2 linked regions of the Caenorhabditis elegans genome follow. The protein of the gene in region 1 purifies or fractionates together with the protein of each later gene. This does not show direct contact. Each region holds a gene or a part of one and is shown on either strand. Other genes may lie near its edges.

Region 1 (10,132 bases):
TCACTTGGTGGAGGACGTTCATTATCTTCTGGAGTCATATCAAGACCACCAACTTCATCCTCTCCTGGCGGGATCTTTTCTCAAAGAGTTATGGGAGCTGTTGCACAAGAAAAAGGGCCTGCTAAGAGACCGGTAAGTTTAATATATTAGAATTATTTATTAGGAGACTTTGATATTTTTTCTAATTTATTGCTTCAGAGTGTGCTCTCCCGAAGACCACTGATCCTTTCACCACGAAAAAAAACATCAACTCCACGACCAACACTCTCCCATCACGAGTCATCGCCAAACTTCTCAGCATCTTCTCCGGTGGTTGTTTCTGATGAGTATCTGATTCCAGCAACGGATATGGAAGTTGAAATGGTCGAAGAAGTCATTGATTCTATGGGAAACTCATCGTCTGAAGATGTTGCCACTTCTTCAACATCTTCCGAGAGGCAACCGATGCTTACGCTGGCAGAGGCTCTTGAGATGGATGGTTCAAGTGGAACAGTTAAAGATCAAGATATGGAAGAAATCTCAAAAGAAATGATGAAAGATGCTCATTACTACAGAGCAATGGAAGACGCTATCAAATGTCGCACCGTGACGAAAATGCGCGCTGACATGAGACTTTCCCGTCATTGCATCCGGCAAATTGAAGCTGCGAGAGCCAGGTGAGCCCATGGGAGGTCTACTTTGATAAATCGTTTAATTTTTTGCAGAGCTCGTCTGTTTGGCGAAAGGACTGAAGATTATCAAATTTTCTACTCTAACGATGGAGCACAAGTGGTATGTTTTTATTAGTTTCAATTCTGAATTTTAGTAACAATTTTCGTTTTTTAAAAGATTTTATTTATGTTGTTCTCAATTTGAAACCATTTGCTTTGAAAAAATTCCGATTGAAACATCAAAAATCACTGATCACAACACAATTTATTTTAAAAACATGTTTTCTCCGCTATTTGGCGTTATCAATCAGTTTGTTTCATTCTTATGATTTTCAGCTCACCAAAAAAGATCCAAAATGGCGTGAACTTCAACAACAACAACAACAACAACAACAGCAGCAAGAACAATTTCCAGGACAAGGATCATCGGATTCTCAACAATAATTATTTTTAATTATCAAAGAAAGTGCCTCAAAATTCAAGATTCAAAAGTCAATTGTCCTTTCGAGGATCGCCCCACATTTCTTTCATGTGAACTATCTCTGTTTTATATCCACAGAAGTTATCCCATTTTACTTTCATTCGAAATTCTTGAAATCTGATAAAAACTCCGACTAGGATAGATTTTCGTCTAGATTTTTAGGATTTTCACATTTACTTTTTTCCCATTTTTTACCCCCCCTCCCCCCTATAATTTACTTTCCAAAATTAATAGTTTGTTTTACTTTCCATAAGCCCCCGCCCCCTCCCCAAAAACCACACTTTTTCTATCATAAATTAATCTGAATTATTCACAAAAAATGAGCCAAAGTCTATTTAAACGTTTCCCTAGTTTTCAATTACATTCAAGTTTGAAAGATATGTGCGTTTGTGTGCCAAATATGACTAAAAGTCAATAAATAAATGATTTTGCTTGGTAGGTTTTTGAAAAGAGTTTTCAGATTATTTTTTCTATAGGCTACCTGATTATCCATAACATTATATTTTGAAAAAACCATGAAAAATTTAAAAAAATCCTAAAATTTAGAATGGCATCACCAGAAGCATCGTCTTCTGGAAATACAGAAGATCTTCGTATCGAAGATTTATTCCATCAAAAACGAAATGAAGATACGATTGCTAAAATATTTTCGATTATTTATGCTCCAGTTGGTGAGATTTTTTTCAAATTTTTTGACACATTCCAAAAAGTAAAAGTTTTAAAAAATCAAAATTTCAGGTTTAATTATTCTTTTAATTCGTGTTTTCCTCGGTTTCCACACATTTATTGTTGCATGTCTACTCAGAAAATCTGCTGCTTTGAGAATGCACACTCTTCGAATTATGTGCTCAATTCTCGGAATTGTCGTTGAAAAATCTGGTCACAGGTTTGTGATTTTTTTTTTGAAAAATATTTGATATCTCCAAAAAAATAGAAACAAGTTACTGAAAAATTGGAAGCTTGCCGTATTGCCCAGGCGCAAATTTTTTTGCGACTTCTGTCCCAAAAGTGAGGTACCTGGTCTCGAAATGACAATTTTTTTGTTAAATACAAAAACATGTGCGCCTTTAAAGAGTACGGTAGCTTTAAAATTTCGTTACTGTGGATTCATTGATTTTTCATAGTTTTTCTTACGATTTTTGTTAAAATCAATGTGTTTTAAGTGTTATTTTAGTTTTAAAAATTTATTTTAACGAAAAAACTTTGAAAAATTGATTTCAAAAATTCCGCAGCAACAAAAGTTCCATATATCCATTTATATTTTACAAAAAAAAAGTTTTTCAAGACCCGGGTGCTGTACTTTTTTTGCAAAATGAAATTCGGTAATTTTTAGTGTATCTAAAAAAAATTAAAAAAAAAAGGTCACTAACTATTCCTTAAAATGTTTTTTGCTTGCCGAGATATTCACAACTTCTTAGTATTAAAAAAAAAAGATTTTCAGAGATGAATCAGCTCGAGTTTTGTGCGCCAATCATGTATCAATTCTTGATCATTTAGCAGTTGATATTCTTACTCCATGCCTTCTTCCATCTGTTTGGGATATTCCATCGATTATTAGATGGTGTTTTGGATATGTAGATTTGGGAGCAACACGTGGAAGAGATCAACTTGTCAGTAGAGCCAAACAACTACTCACCAGAGAACAAATGCCACTTCTCGCATTTCCAGAAGGAATTATTACTAGTGGAGAAAAGGCATTGATCAAGTTTAAGTATGTCATTTGAACTTTCCAAATATTTTGTGATTTCGATTTCAAGATTTTTCAGCTAAAAATATGGTTTGTCACTACAAATTTGTGAAAAAAAATCTAAAAATCTTTTTACGCATTTTCATCAATTTTTCATAGTTTTTTTCATAAAATATAAAATTCACATTTTTAATGAAAAACTATGCAAAATCGATGAAAATTCAGCATAAATTAGGATTTTAAATTACAGTACTCTTTAAAGGCGCACACTTTTTGTCGGATAAAGAATTGTCATGTCAAGACCGGGTACCGTAGTTTTGGCGCAAAAATCATGAATCTCGAACCCAAATCTACTAAATTTTCAGTACTTGGTGTTTCGAGGTGTCTTCAGTAGTTCAACCCGTCTCAGTGCGTGTGTGGCGTCCGTATCCTTGGAAAGTTTCAGTTTCAGTATTGGGTTCTTCATGGTGGACTGATCTTTTCTATTTCTTTGCACTTCCGTTTACTGTTATCACTGTCGAATATCTTCCGAAAATGGAAAGACGAGAGAATGTAAAGAAAAATTGGAATTTCCAAATAAAAACAATTATTTCTAGGAATCACTCGAAGAATTCACCGCCCGAGTTGCCGAAACGTTGGCTGGAAATTTGAAGATTGCAGTGTCAAAGTTTGGAATTTCGGACGCAACAGAAGCAGCAAAACGGCTTAGAACAGATAGAGAACGTGCGAAAAAAGTTGTCGTTAGAGAGAAGGTATTTGTTTCCAATAATTTGTTTTCTTTAAAAAATGAAAATTTTCAAGACTTCACCTAGACTTGCGGATCCTCGTCAAATGGACGAATGTGCAATGAGAATCAAACAATCATTTCCATCATTCCATTTATCTGCAATTCGACGTGATTTGGAGAAAACTCGTAGTCAAACTACAACTGTTAATAATTTGAAAGCTGGTAAAATTTCATCATCAGCATCGGATGGTCAAACTGGAAAGGTTAGGAACTACAAATTCGATGAATTGCCCAGAAATACTGAGATTTTTAAGCCTAAGACTACTGTACCCGGTCTCAACACGACAATTTTTTGTAAAATACAAACCGCCGTGTGTCTTTAAAGAGAACTGTAATTTAAAACTTTCGTAGCTGACAGAATTTTCATCGATTTTCAGTTGTTCGACACAAATACATTCATTTATTGGAAAAACTAAATTAAAACAATAAAAAACATAAATTTTAATAAATCGTGAGAGTAAATATGACAAATCGATGAAAATACCTCAGCTACCAAAAGGTTGAAACTACAGTACTCTCTAAAGGCGCACATCCGTTTTGTATTTAGCAAAAACTGTTGTGTCGAACCCAGGTATCGTAGTTTTGACATTAAATATGAAGAATATCTAAATAACAATTTTCAGGTTACATTGGACGCTGGTACGTGGCGTGGAGTATTCGACAATCGAAAATGGCAGATGATCGAAGTTAATCGCCAAAAATACATGAACCGCGATTCTTAAATTTTCAAATTAGATTATTCGATTTTTCTTTGGATTTTAAAACCTTTTAGTCATCATGCCTTGTCATTTCCTTTGCCTGTTCGATTAATTTATTGCATATGCTTTGTCTATTAATGAAAAAAAAACGTTTATTATTATACAAAGTAGAGTTTACAAGTATATATATATATATAAGGAAACGAAGTCTGAAACATCGAAAAGCGGGAAGAGTCAAGATAGATAAAGACTTTTTTTGTATTTTTTTAGTTTATCCCGTAGATTTAGTTGCCAAAAAAGGAAAATAATACCGTTGAAACAAATCAAATGAAAAATAAGGAAGACAGTGAAACTGATAAAAAACGAAACGAGAGGATCGAGATCATTATTTGATAAGATAGAAATATGAAAAGAAAGAAAAAAAGGTGAGAATAGTATCTAAAAGTCGACAACAAGAGTGGAAACCGGTGAGAACGAGGAAGGACAAGAGAAGGAAAAAGGAAAAAAAATGAAGAGGAAAAAAGAAACATTGAATAAAAATGCGGAAAGAAAACCTACTGTACATCAGGAATTGAACCCAAATAAAGAGCAAAGTAGAAGAAACGGAAATAACAGTGAGGGAAGCTCTTAAACGAGCTCCCCTTCCTCCATCTCATCCAGCCGGGGTGGCAAGATTGGCGGCGGTGGAGGTGGCGGCAGTAGTATCTGTGATACAGGTGGGGAAGGCTCATCAGGAGGTGATATTTGTTGCGTTGATGACATCGTATGTCGAGAATCGGCCGGATTTCTGCAACTGAGGAAAGATTATATTAATCATTTTCCAAGCTAACTCCAAGTCGTCTTTCAATTAACTTGTTAAAACTGATAAGTGTTGCTTTTAATTTAACTTACCGTTGATACTCCATACACATTTTTTGATATGTGGAAGGTTGGGCAGATACCGACATGAGAGGAGGCGGAGCGACTTGATTTAACATCATTTCGTTTACTCCTCGAGCATATGTTGAAATGTTTTGCTGGTGCGTCGTTTGCGAAAAATGATCATTGTGCATAGTAGCTATGGTTGTTGATGACGAAGCAACGAAACTCATCTTGTAATCGATCCTTGGTTTTTTCGAACTGAAAAAGTTTAGTATTATACATTTTAGACTTTTCAGATCTGTTGAGGTATGTTCATGGAGGGAAAACATTATCAAGCGTACCTATTCGTCTCTTCGTACATCATTGACCTTTTCGCTGATCGAGAATCTTCGTTGTATGGCTTCTGATGTTGGTGTGCCGATAGACCGGATGAGGACCTATTCTGATGATTGCTATTGTTTGAAGCTGATGAAGACGTAGAATGGTGGTGAAGAGGATGAGAACTGCTGCTGGGACGGTGTCCGTTACGATGAATTTTCTGCTGAGCAGCTTCTTTCATCCTTTGTTCCATCAACTCTTGCTCGACTACCTTCTGATTCTTTACATCTGGCAGGAAACTCGGTCGCGTTGAAGGCGAATCAGAAGAATTGGAAAGTGGCTTCGGTCGGCCTTTATATGACTCCAAATCGATTTTCTTGAGATTAGACGACGATCCAGAAGGTGTTACTGTAGATGAGACTTGTGGCGGCATTCCGACAATTTTAACCTTTCCGAGTGGATCAATCTTTTTAAGAGACCCAATGTGGAATTGTGGATTTCGGCTGAAGATATCTAGGAATTCCTTAGTCATGGCCTCAACTTCTTCACGAGTCATTGACTGATCTTCTAGTCGGTACCACCTATCAGATAACTCAAATGGAACGATATCGTCCATGTTGATGTTATGAAAGAAGGCAGCTATGTTTACGCAAGCAGTTGCTATTGAAGCACATGAGTATCGCACACTCCAGTCGGTGATTATTAATCTGAAAAATTATATTAGTTGTAATAGTTGGCTCAAGTCAATTAAAGAAAACTTACACATCAGTGGCCATGTAATATGCAGTTTTCACCATATCCTTGTATACATTTCTACCTTTCTCGACATCGCGCATTAATTTTAGAACATACTGATGAGGTAGATCTACATTGATATCGAAGGCTGAAAATACAAAATGAAAAAATACTATTTTTTAATAGAAAAGTCAGTTCGGAAGGATATTGATAAAGAACTTACAAATGGTTTTGAGAAGTACATCCTCTATTAACGTGACGACATTACACTGATCTAAGAAGTGTTGCTCTGATTGAAACTGCTTATTGTGTGGATATTTGAACTGCCACAGTTGTGTAACCACATATTTCAGCTTCTTGGGTGCATCTTCGTTCTTTCCTGCCAAAAAGACACATGCTGCCGCCACGTCTCGGAAATCACACCGTTTGAGCGAGTGAACGTTGAAGAATCGGTTAAACAGAGTTGCCGCCACTCCACTCAGACCGCTGGAATATATCGCAGTGCTCGATGAGGAGAGAATCAAGACATTGTCTCGAAAAGATTAGGAAGCGAAAGAAATGATCACAAGAGATGGCGTTTTTATGAATTGTAAAACTATATGAACCCATCTAAATCCTAAATTTTACAATTCGCCTCACTTGAAATTCACTCGATTCTAAATCTTTATCCTATCACTGCACTCACTGCTCTCCTTTGCCATGTGTCAATTGCATGGCAATGTCAAAGATGAAGACTCCTCCTTGTTGTCGTTTTGACAGCTCCTCCTCGTATGTCATTCCTTCTCGTCGACTTGGAGTGTCCGCCAACATCTAAAAATTAAACATTTGAACACTGAACGGTATTATCGATTAGGTCCCAATAATGCTGGAAAATTTTGAACAACCATCAGTGAATTTTTTTTAGTGTTGCTCGTTTTCAAATGTTCCCCGATTGGTGGAATCTCCTAAAATTCTAATGTCAGCATGTACTAAATACAATTCGATGAAAATATATGTTAGAGTTTTTATGTACGAGCACAAGGACCCGGAAAATTATTTTACGAAAAACCACCAAAAATTTACTTTTTCTGGATAATTGGGAAATTTTTTACCAATAAATTGGAAAAATAAAAAGAAAACATACATCTTGCTTTTTTCGGAGCCAAGGATGAATCATTCTGCCATATCTGGACCCATTCTTCTCTGCGATCAATTTGTTCGAATTCGACATACTGATCAATGCTGAAAAAAATATATAAAAAAGAATATCAAATGTTCACGACGAAACACGATAAAAACAATAAATAGATACAAATAATCGATGAATGAAATGGAATTGCTGAGGGAGGAGAAGGAGGAATAAGCGACGGGACAGCGTCCAAAAATCGATATTACCTAGGAAAGACAAAAATTCGTAGTGGCCATTTACAGAATTATCTCCTGGCAATATCCGGTCAGGATACCGAACAATCGTCAAGACATAAAGGAAACTAGAAAACAACTATCACATGAGCAGAATAAACTTAAATTTCGAAATATTTCATAATTCTGGAACGGTTTTATTCGATAATACCTAGCTGAATTTGCACGAATACAGATCGATCCACTGATTAGCGCATATAAAACACGAACATCCAAATTGTGCTATTGAGAAATTGAAAATCCGAGAATATAAAAATTAGCAATAGCACTCTAGAAAAACGTAATTTTCTCCCGGGACCCGTTGCAAATCTTGGCAAACCTATGATTTTCTGGTTCAAAATAAGTTAAATTACTTAAAAAATCACAAAAACGTTAGAGTTTTTCGGCGAAATCGAAAAATGAACAGTGTTTTTCAGAAAACAAGGAAAAATGGTGTTAGTGATGCAAAAAAGGATTTTCACTCAATGTTCAATGTCAAAAATACATGTGAGCTGAAAAGCACGTGATAATGCAACACTTACGCTTGAAAAATACAGAAAATCGATAAAATTTAACTGAAAATCGGCTGAAAATGGGTAGGTGACTCAGAAAAAAAGCTTTGCCTGCCGCGACGCGACACGCAGCGCGTCCGCTTGAGCGCGCTTGTGTCGTCCAGGTTTCACATTAAAACTGGATTTTTGTGAAGCTTTTCACCGGAATTTTTTATTTTATGACAGTGAAAAATCAAATAATGTGTAATTTTTTGGGGAACTCTGGAAATTTATTCAGATTTTTAGAGAATTAAACTCAAATGCGATGTCGGTGTCGAGTCGAGGCGCGGCTTCCCCAGCACATCGGACCGCGCCAACCAAATGGCTCTTCACCAAAGAGGAGGTGCGAAAATTAGAATTAAAACTCAATAATTAATATTTTGAATTTTTAAGATGAAAAAGACAGCGAGCATTCAAGAAGGAATGAGCAGAGAAGAAGAACTAGCCTCCCGACAAATGGCCGCCGCGTTCATCCAAGAAATGATAGATGGATTGAACAATGTTAAAGATCCAAAAATGAAAATGTAACTTTTACAACGAAAACTTTATCAAAAAATGTTCTTGAAAATGCTTTTTCAGCGGTCACACGGGTCTTTGCGTTGCACATACACATATGCATCGCTTTTATTATTTGCATAGCTTCAAAAAGTATGATTATAGAGTAAGACCTTTATCCGTAAATTGAAAAAATTTTTAAAAATCCATTTCAGGACGTAGGTGCTGCTTGTGTATTTTTAGCGGGTAAAAGTCAGGAGTGTCCAAGAAAATTATCACATGTGATCAGTGTATGGCGGGAGCGAAAGGATAGAAAACAATTGACGACGGAAACTGTGAGTATAGAAATTAAGGTTTTTAAAGATTTTTTCCCCTATTTGTATTTCTAAAAACACTAGAAAGCACAATTGCAATACAAATTTCACGGGTCAAACTTTAGAAACCCGATTTCGTGATTTTTCAGGCTAGGAATGAAGCAGCCCAAATTATTGTTCTTCTGGAGAGCATGATTCTACAGACAATCGGTAAGAACTTTATCAGATTACTTTTAAATATAAAAATTTCAGCATTCGATCTCAACGTTCATCTTCCTCATATTTATGTTCTGGATATCATGAAAAAAGTTGATAAAAGTAAATTGTTAATTTTGAAAAGAAAACAAATAACTGAACATTATTTTCAGAAGAGCATTATCGACCTTTGACATCTTGCGCCTACTATTTTGCCACAGACGTGTATGTTTTCAAAATCATAAATTCAAATGTAATAATTTTTAAATTTCAGAATAGCTGTAACAGACTGGTCACTTCGATATTCTGCAGCGTCAATGTCTATTGTAATTATTCATTTAATGGCAGCCTATGCCAATGTCCGGGTGAGATTTAGAAAAAAATGGTAGTAAAATTGCTTAGAGAAAGATTTCCAAAAATTTTTGAAAAGTAAAATAATCATTAACAATTAATCTAAATTTCAGATAGAGCGATTATTTGCCGATTTCATCAATGAAGATTCACCGTGGTATGCGAAATTTGACGAAACAATGACGAACGAGAAGCTGAGAGGTTCGTAAAATTCGAATTTAACAAAAAAAAACGACATTTAAAGTGCATCAAATTTTGATTTATGGATGCTCGAAATTTAATCAATTTTTTAGTGAGAAGGTTTTTGAGCTGTAAAAATAAATCCTGAATGTTTTTGAAATAAAATACATTTTAAAGTTTTTTTTTAAGTATAAAGTTTCGTTAAAAAAAATAGAATTTACGGTGGAGTATCGTGAATTTTGCTTGAAATTGCCAGAATAGGCTTAAATTTAAAAAAAAAATCATTTAGAGCGTACTCAGGAGCAGTTTTAAAAGTTCGATTTTTGGTTTTTTTTAAAGCGAAATCCCTATTTAAGCAAGACAACATGTTATTAAAATATTTATGAAAAATGGTTTTTTTTTCAGAAATGGAAGTAGATTTCCTTGTAACATATCGGAATTCCTGTCAA
Region 2 (7,149 bases), on another chromosome or scaffold:
AAAATATGATTTTACAGATGCTTGTCCGTGTAATGACAGAGCCACAAAACTCCCTTCTTGCACAACTGAAATTGCAATTCGGAATTGACAACGTAGATCTCTCATTCTCTGCTGAAGCTCTCGAACAAGTCGCTCAACTGGCTCTCGACAGAAAGACGGGAGCACGTGCTCTTCGGTCAATTCTTGAAGCCGCTCTGTTAGAAGCGAAGTTCACCGTTCCCGGATCTGACATCGAATCTGTACATGTTAGCAGGTACGGCTAATTTCAAAAATCAGAAATCTAGAAAATAAATGAAAAACACAATGTTCTCATTAAATTTTTCTAATTTTCAGAGAAGCAATCCTTGGTGAGAAAGAGGTTGAATATTCACGACGTAAATCCCAAGTTGTTGAAGAAGAAGACGTTTCACCTATGAAGAAGTCGGCTGTCGCTTAGAGACTCATTTTGATTTCCATCTGATTTATTATTCTAATCATTTTTTATTCTATGGGTTTTCTTTTTTTTAAACGAATCCTATTCGTATCTGTACACTCTTTTCACACGAATCTCCACTGCGGTTTCGTCTGTTTTTTCTGTAGGCATTTTAGTTTGATTATTGTCTCCTATCATTTTTTTTCTCCTATGTACATATATAACTTTGAATAATATCGTCAGATTTTCATAACAGGCAACAACAAGAAAATAACAAACAAAAAACGATGGGAATGGGAAAACTTTAAGACATATCAAAAAGGTTCAGAATATCATCAACCGATGCTTCTCCTTCCAAAAGATTAGTTTTAACATCGTTAACCACTGACTTCTTCTTCTTTTTGGCCACAGTTGAAGTGGCTGTAGTACTGCTCTCACTATTTTTCTTTTTTCTGGATGAAGCTTCTGGAACCTCTTCTATTTTCTTCTCTACCACCACTGGAACAATCTCCTCTTCCTTATCTTCTGTTTCCATTTCTTCAAATTCTTGCTCCACTTCTTCCTTTTCCTTCAAATCTTCGGACGCGGCAGTTGGAGCTTGAATAGTATTTTCCTCTTTGAGAACAAGTGTTTTCTTGGCTTTCACATTTGCAAGATCCTTAACAAAAATCAATATTATAATTAACTTAAAATCTATTTCTCTTACCGTAGTTCTAGGGCGGGATGCAACATTGCAAAGAGCTCTTAATCTATGAGAATGCTCAGAAGTATTTCGAGTTCTTGATGAAATAACTCGAGCGACTTGCAATGGAGATGGAACATATTCATTGTTCAAAGTAAGGAATGCAGCAAGCAATTGAAGATAGATTGAACTATCCGGATGCATAATGGCAGACTGTAATTGTATTATTTAAATAATTTTTTTCAAAAACTCTATAATTACCTCACAAACTGCTTTTTGAACAGTGGCAAACACTTCTGGCTTAATGAGAGAAGCCGCCGATTCGATAATGCTGGAAAGTAGATTTCCCACGTGTTCTCCGTAACATTGCTCATGAATTGGATGCTTCAATGCAGTGAAGATTACATAGAAATGTTTGTAAAGTGTTGAAGTGACAGGTCCAAACGTTTTCGAAATGAATGCAAGAGTTTTGATTAAATCAACGTCGGGCGATTCAAGTTCAGAAATCAGAGTAGATACGATTCTGCCGATCTGTGAAAAATTAGATTTCATTAAAGAAAACATGTAATTCGAATTTATAAGAATTGAGTTATTCCATTAAACTTCCTTTACCTTTCATTTTTGACATTTCAAAATAAAACAAAATCTCCAAAAATATGGCCGGTCTCGAAACGACAAAGTTTTTAAAACACAAACGGGTGTGCGCCTTCAAGAGTACTGTAATTTCAAACTTTGGTTGCTGCGGAGTTTTCATAGTTTTTCTCACAATTTGTAGAATTGATGTTTTTAGTAGTTTCATTTCACAAAAAAAAACTTTGAATGAAAAAACTATGAAAAATCAGTAAAAATTTCGCATCAACGAAATATTGAAATTACAGTACTCTTAAAGGCGCACACCCATTTGTATTTAACAAAAAGGCGCGTCGAGGCCGGGTACTATTTTTTTTATCTGAAAATACATTTTTAAAGCTTACCATTGGAATAAGTGAATACTTCGTGTTTACACACATTGAACGGAGACATGCAAATGCAACAGATCGATTTTTCGGATTATTAATTCCCAATTCAATAACTTGAATTATATCTTTTCGTTCTACAAATAATCCCGGCTTTGAAGCGTATCCGAGTGAAAGTGCGAGAACTTCAAAAAGAAGAGAAGTCAGCGAATCTCGATGAGAAGACACTCCCAATGTTCTAAGCTGAAGGAGATCTGAAAATAAATTCAGATTTTACGTGCCAATAGAGTTGTACTTTTTTTTGTTGATAAAATTACTAACCATTTGATACATTTTTAATCTTGGTTGCACTCAACAAAACTTCAAGCGTATTCAACAACATTGTTAGATTCTGATTGCTAATTCTCAATCCAAACAGTTCAGCAGCCAATCCACGAATATTGGGATCACTTGTTTGTGCAGCAGCATCCATGCAATTAAGAATAATCTTGAATACAATTGGAGAATGAAGTTCTCCAGCTTGCGGATTTCTAACAAGAAGTTCTCGAGTATAAAGTGATCCACATAATTGAAAATGATCCGAGATATGAGCAAGTCGATTAGCCAATCGCGATTGAACTGCTCGTAGAGTTTGTGAAGAACATTTGATGATCATTCTCGACATAAGACAAAATCCTAGTTCTTGTTCTTTACGTGTTCGATTGGATCCAACGAGACGGAGACATTTTTCGAAAGTCTGAAACTTATTTGATGAATGGATCCATGACAGAATATGTAGGTTTTTAGATAATTCAAAAAAATTTGACAATTTCTAACCTGAATTTCGTCTTCTGGTTTTCCAACCATTGTTTCTTGGACGACTTTTCGGATTTCGGTCATCTCTGAAAGGTGTTTTTAAATTATAATATGGAAAACTAATCGGAATCATTATAGCATAGATATATTACAAATGATACGAACAACAAAAAAATTTTCAACATTAAAAAAAAGTGTACGACTCAATATTTATCCGAAATCGAGAGAAAAAGAAACGAAACAAAAGACACATAGTATTCACAAAAAACTATACTATTATCAAAAATCATTTAAAGAAATATCTCATCGACATCTATTCAAGCAGTGGCTTCTTTGCGAGCCTGTCTTTGAAGCAATCGTCGTTCACGTTCGAATTCTTTGATTCTCATGATATGATCATCATATTCACATTTATCCCAAGCTCCACGTTCTCCGTCGCACGCGTGTCCGGCAAATGGTGCATTTTGGGTCTGAATATAATAAATTATTTTTGCTGTTTTTGAGAAAATAATTTTAGATGTGTATTTTTATATAATTTTAAAAATATATCATTGTAACTAAAACAAAAATCTTACTTGGCATTTCATGAGTGAAATCAAGTGGTGAGCACAATAATCGCGTTGAGCTGGCTTCAACTTCCACTGCTCCATCTCTTCCCAAGTAGCCTTCATCTCGCGGACCTTGAATATTAAACTTTATTATATTGAATATTTATGAATTAAATGAACAGTTATTTAATGAACTTTTAAAAAAGTTGTTTACCTTTCTCGGTCGCTCGAATCCATACTGAGGATCGAAAGTTGGTGGTCTGTCGACACGTGGCGCGGTTTCTGGTGTACTGGCTCCTTCCAATGAGACGGACAGTTTAGTTCCCATCTTGGCTGAAAAAAAAGGAATTGGTACAAAATAAAGAAAGCATCAAAACTCTTCTGATATTTGAATCAACTCAAAATAAATAATTAGCATGCTTAGGGCAGCGAATGCTTTGCTGATAAGAAGTGAACAATTTATATTTTAATAATTTAACATATTTTTCCGGAAAATATTCTTCTAAAACGTTAAAAACAAAGTAAAGCTGAAAATTGGCACAAAAATTGCCCGAAATAAAATAAGATAAACAACAAGCACTTGTGTAATATCGGAGTGTCGTTGTAATCAAAGTGAGTGCGTGCAAAAAGCAAGTTTACAGCGGGTTCATTGACCGAATTTTCAATGTCAAAAACATTTTCTTATCTAAACTTTTGTTTGTTTCTGTTACTTTTCATTTTCTCACAGATGTTTCAATCATTTAAACGCTTATTACTTAGCATTTTTCGAGTTTTATAAATTTTATTAAAGTACAGTAACCATGTTTATAGATTCTTCTTTTGAAAATGGCATCCTTCCGTTCTACACTCGCCCTTGTCAATTCTGCTAAGCTTTCGCTGTCCACAAGAGTAGGTTTTTCTATTTTTTCTGATGAAAACTATTAGATAATCGCTTTTTTACTTTAAAAATTTTGACTTTTCAGACCATGGCTTCCCATCCATTGGCAGGACTTCTCGGAAAGTTGAACCACGTCGCCATTGCCACACCAGATCTCAAGAAATCATCGGAATTCTACAAGGGCCTCGGAGCAAAAGTTAGCGAGGCTGTGGTTAGTCTTTAATTTTTGTTTCTTCCTAATGTCAATAAAAATTTAGAGCAAAAATATGTAGAAAATATTTTTGTTAAATTCTTTGTAGCATAAATCAAAATAAAAATTGAATAGCCTAAAATTTTGAAATAGCATAACAAAAAACGAAAAATTTTGGAAAAACCCCTACAACTGAAAAATGAAATAAAATGCGAATGAAGCGAATTTTGTGTACTACAGTAAACTTACTTGAAAAATATTTATTTAATTACAAGTTTTTTCATAAAAATGATAAAAATCCGCAAATAAAAAATAAAATGTCTCATCTAGTTTATATTAAAATTTTTGAATTGAATAATTACAGCCACAACCAGAACATGGAGTCTACACTGTCTTCGTTGAGCTTCCAAACTCAAAAATCGAGCTTCTTCATCCATTCGGCGAGAAATCTCCAATTCAAGCTTTTTTGAATAAGAATAAGGACGGTGGAATGCATCATATTTGTATTGAAGTTCGTGATATTCATGAAGCTGTTTCTGCTGTTAAAACAAAAGGAATTCGTACTTTGGGTGAGAAACCAAAAATTGGAGCTCATGGAAAAGAAGTAATGTTCTTGCATCCAAAGGATTGTGGAGGTGTACTTATTGAACTCGAGCAGGAATAATTTGATTCTTTGTTCCCAAAATCTAGCAATCATATTATCTGTTTGACAAAGTTTTGATCTTCACTTTTTTGTGAGAAACTTCACAAATTTTAAATTTCGCAAAAGTTCTCTCAAAATTTTTTATTGGCAGCCTATAACTTTTGAAAAATCGATAATATGATATAAATTACAAAAAAAAAAACTATAAACCTTTCTTTTAGCACCCAGTATTTTGCATAGAGATTAATTTTTGATACGTTTTAATCTGTTCACATGTTTTATTGTTTCTTGTGCCATAATAATTGCCTACAACTTCAATAAATTGTTTCATTAAATTTTCAAAATATAAATTCGTTTACATGTTTTCAAAAATATAATTTGAATTTTAAAGCGAAAAACTACGAAAAAACATATCAGAAAAGAATGTAAAATTTATGGGTAATATGAAAAAAACCTATTTTCAGAAAAGTTACAGTGGATTAGGATTTGGAAAAAAAAGAAGAAAATCAAAACTGTATGAACTACACTCTTAGAAATTTCAGACTTAAGCGAAGAATGTCAATAATCAGAAATCAAAAACAAAATTACATCTATGACATAATCAGTATAAGATGGTCCCTGAGCCGTCAATCCTGAAATTCTAGTGGATATACTACGCACCTATTTGAAAGAGGGAAATTCTTTTTTAGAAAAATATTTTTCCAAATAAGACGAAAAGAATTTCAATCCAAAGATGTCCAAAGTGTTTGCGAAAAAGCTCGGTAAACATCGTTTCACAGTTTTATTCAGTTATTCAACATCGTTCAGTCTCTTTTCCTCTCCCTCGTTTCCAATTAGAAAACGACCTTTTTCGGTTCTTCAATCGATGCGCGCGAATTGTTCGTATACCTTCGATCACCACCACAAGTTGAAAACAAGTTGTTGTCGTCAATTCTGGTGATTCATCATCATCCTCTGCCAAACATATTCCTCATTTCAACAATTTAAAAGATTATCTAATGTTGAACAATCTTGGTACTCGATTATTCAAATCAGTTACTGATAAAGCTGGCGATCTTGGAGATAAATTTGAAGAAGAATTCACACGACTTTCATTTAATATCACAAGTTAGTTCAAAATATAAACGAACAGGAGATCGTAGATCAATGTTCTTTTCTAAATCTGGTTTGAATATAATGCATGGAAAAGAACGTTCGAAATTGAGTGATCTCGTCGAAAGTTTTGGATTTTTCAATGTTTCTGATAATCGAAAATATCGTAAATTGAAAATGACATGCACAGAAAAAACTAGGAAACTCTAGAACAAAAATGACGAATTTGATGATTTAAAACAATTTTATATTTTCAAAAGAAACTTAATTTTAATCATAAAAATTAACATTATAATGAGTTAAAAACAACCGAAAAATCGATACTCCTGTTCATGATGACGTCATTTTAAATTGATTACTACAATTGTGTAGACCTTTAAAAATGTGATTTTTCGCCATTTCTACAAGAAATTCCTTACGCACATGGGCCACAATGACCACGTGTTACTGTAACTCGTGCCATTTTATGGAGCATTTATTTGTATTATTATTTACAAATCAAATTAAGAATTGGTGCAAACATTCTTCAAACAAGAATATTACGTATGCAATAGCGTTGAATCGAGACAAGTTACAGTAACCCATTGCGAGCGTGGCGAGACCAATGTGCTTGAGATGAATTCTCATTTTTAGGCGCCTACCTAATATAAGATTTATTTAAAGTCATAACTTTTATCATTTACTCATGAAATTTCCGAAAAATTTCAGCCGAAGTCGACTCAATTGTAACAGAAGCCATCTCACTATCATCATATATTAAAGTTGTTCTTGTTATATTATCAATTTTACTTATACTTCTCATCATTCGGCTCAGTGCATTTGGAATACGATGTCTTGTATTCAAGGCTCGTGATTGGATTCACTCAATTGAAAATAAACCTTCACCTCAGGTTAGACCATGTTTGAAGACGATAAAATCAACGTTGTGCTTCAGGTAATTCTCTTGATGCCAAC

The links.
Region 2: the proteins of F44B9.5 (region 1) and ndub-7 fractionate together in Caenorhabditis elegans (co-fractionation; one large-scale study listed by BioGRID). This does not show direct contact.

What each region holds. Positions count from the first base shown.
Region 1 is NC_003281.10:8,008,084-8,018,215, reverse strand, and holds F44B9.5 (Lipid droplet-regulating VLDL assembly factor AUP1 homolog), read left to right. Parts: upstream 1-1,677; 5' UTR 1,678-1,678; coding exon 1,679-1,802; intron 1,803-1,869; coding exon 1,870-2,017; intron 2,018-2,572; coding exon 2,573-2,842; intron 2,843-3,183; coding exon 3,184-3,370; intron 3,371-3,414; coding exon 3,415-3,570; intron 3,571-3,619; coding exon 3,620-3,808; intron 3,809-4,228; coding exon 4,229-4,327; 3' UTR 4,328-4,463; downstream 4,464-10,132. Other genes in the region: Protein lin-36, read left to right, coding at 1-132, 199-656, 705-771, 987-1,094; cit-1.2 (Cyclin-T1.2), read right to left, coding at 4,931-5,090, 5,195-5,422, 5,506-6,189, 6,245-6,365, 6,441-6,703, 6,903-7,027, 7,341-7,427; cit-1.1 (Cyclin-T1.1), read left to right, coding at 8,414-8,491, 8,542-8,672, 8,728-8,809, 8,859-8,978, 9,107-9,167, 9,210-9,275, 9,326-9,377, 9,427-9,517 and 2 more.
Region 2 is NC_003279.8:7,577,903-7,585,051, forward strand, and holds ndub-7 (NADH dehydrogenase [ubiquinone] 1 beta subcomplex subunit 7), read right to left. Parts: upstream 3,727-7,149; 5' UTR 3,722-3,726; coding exon 3,608-3,721; intron 3,526-3,607; coding exon 3,421-3,525; intron 3,316-3,420; coding exon 3,163-3,315; 3' UTR 3,042-3,162; downstream 1-3,041. Other genes in the region: D2030.2 (ATP-dependent Clp protease ATP-binding subunit clpX-like, mitochondrial), read left to right, coding at 18-253, 334-436; D2030.3 (Fanconi anemia group I protein), read right to left, coding at 717-1,070, 1,119-1,307, 1,356-1,625, 2,069-2,304, 2,372-2,786, 2,867-2,929; mce-1 (Methylmalonyl-CoA epimerase, mitochondrial), read left to right, coding at 4,219-4,281, 4,356-4,481, 4,825-5,124; D2030.12 (DUF4129 domain-containing protein), read left to right, coding at 6,102-6,210, 6,904-7,085, 7,130-7,149.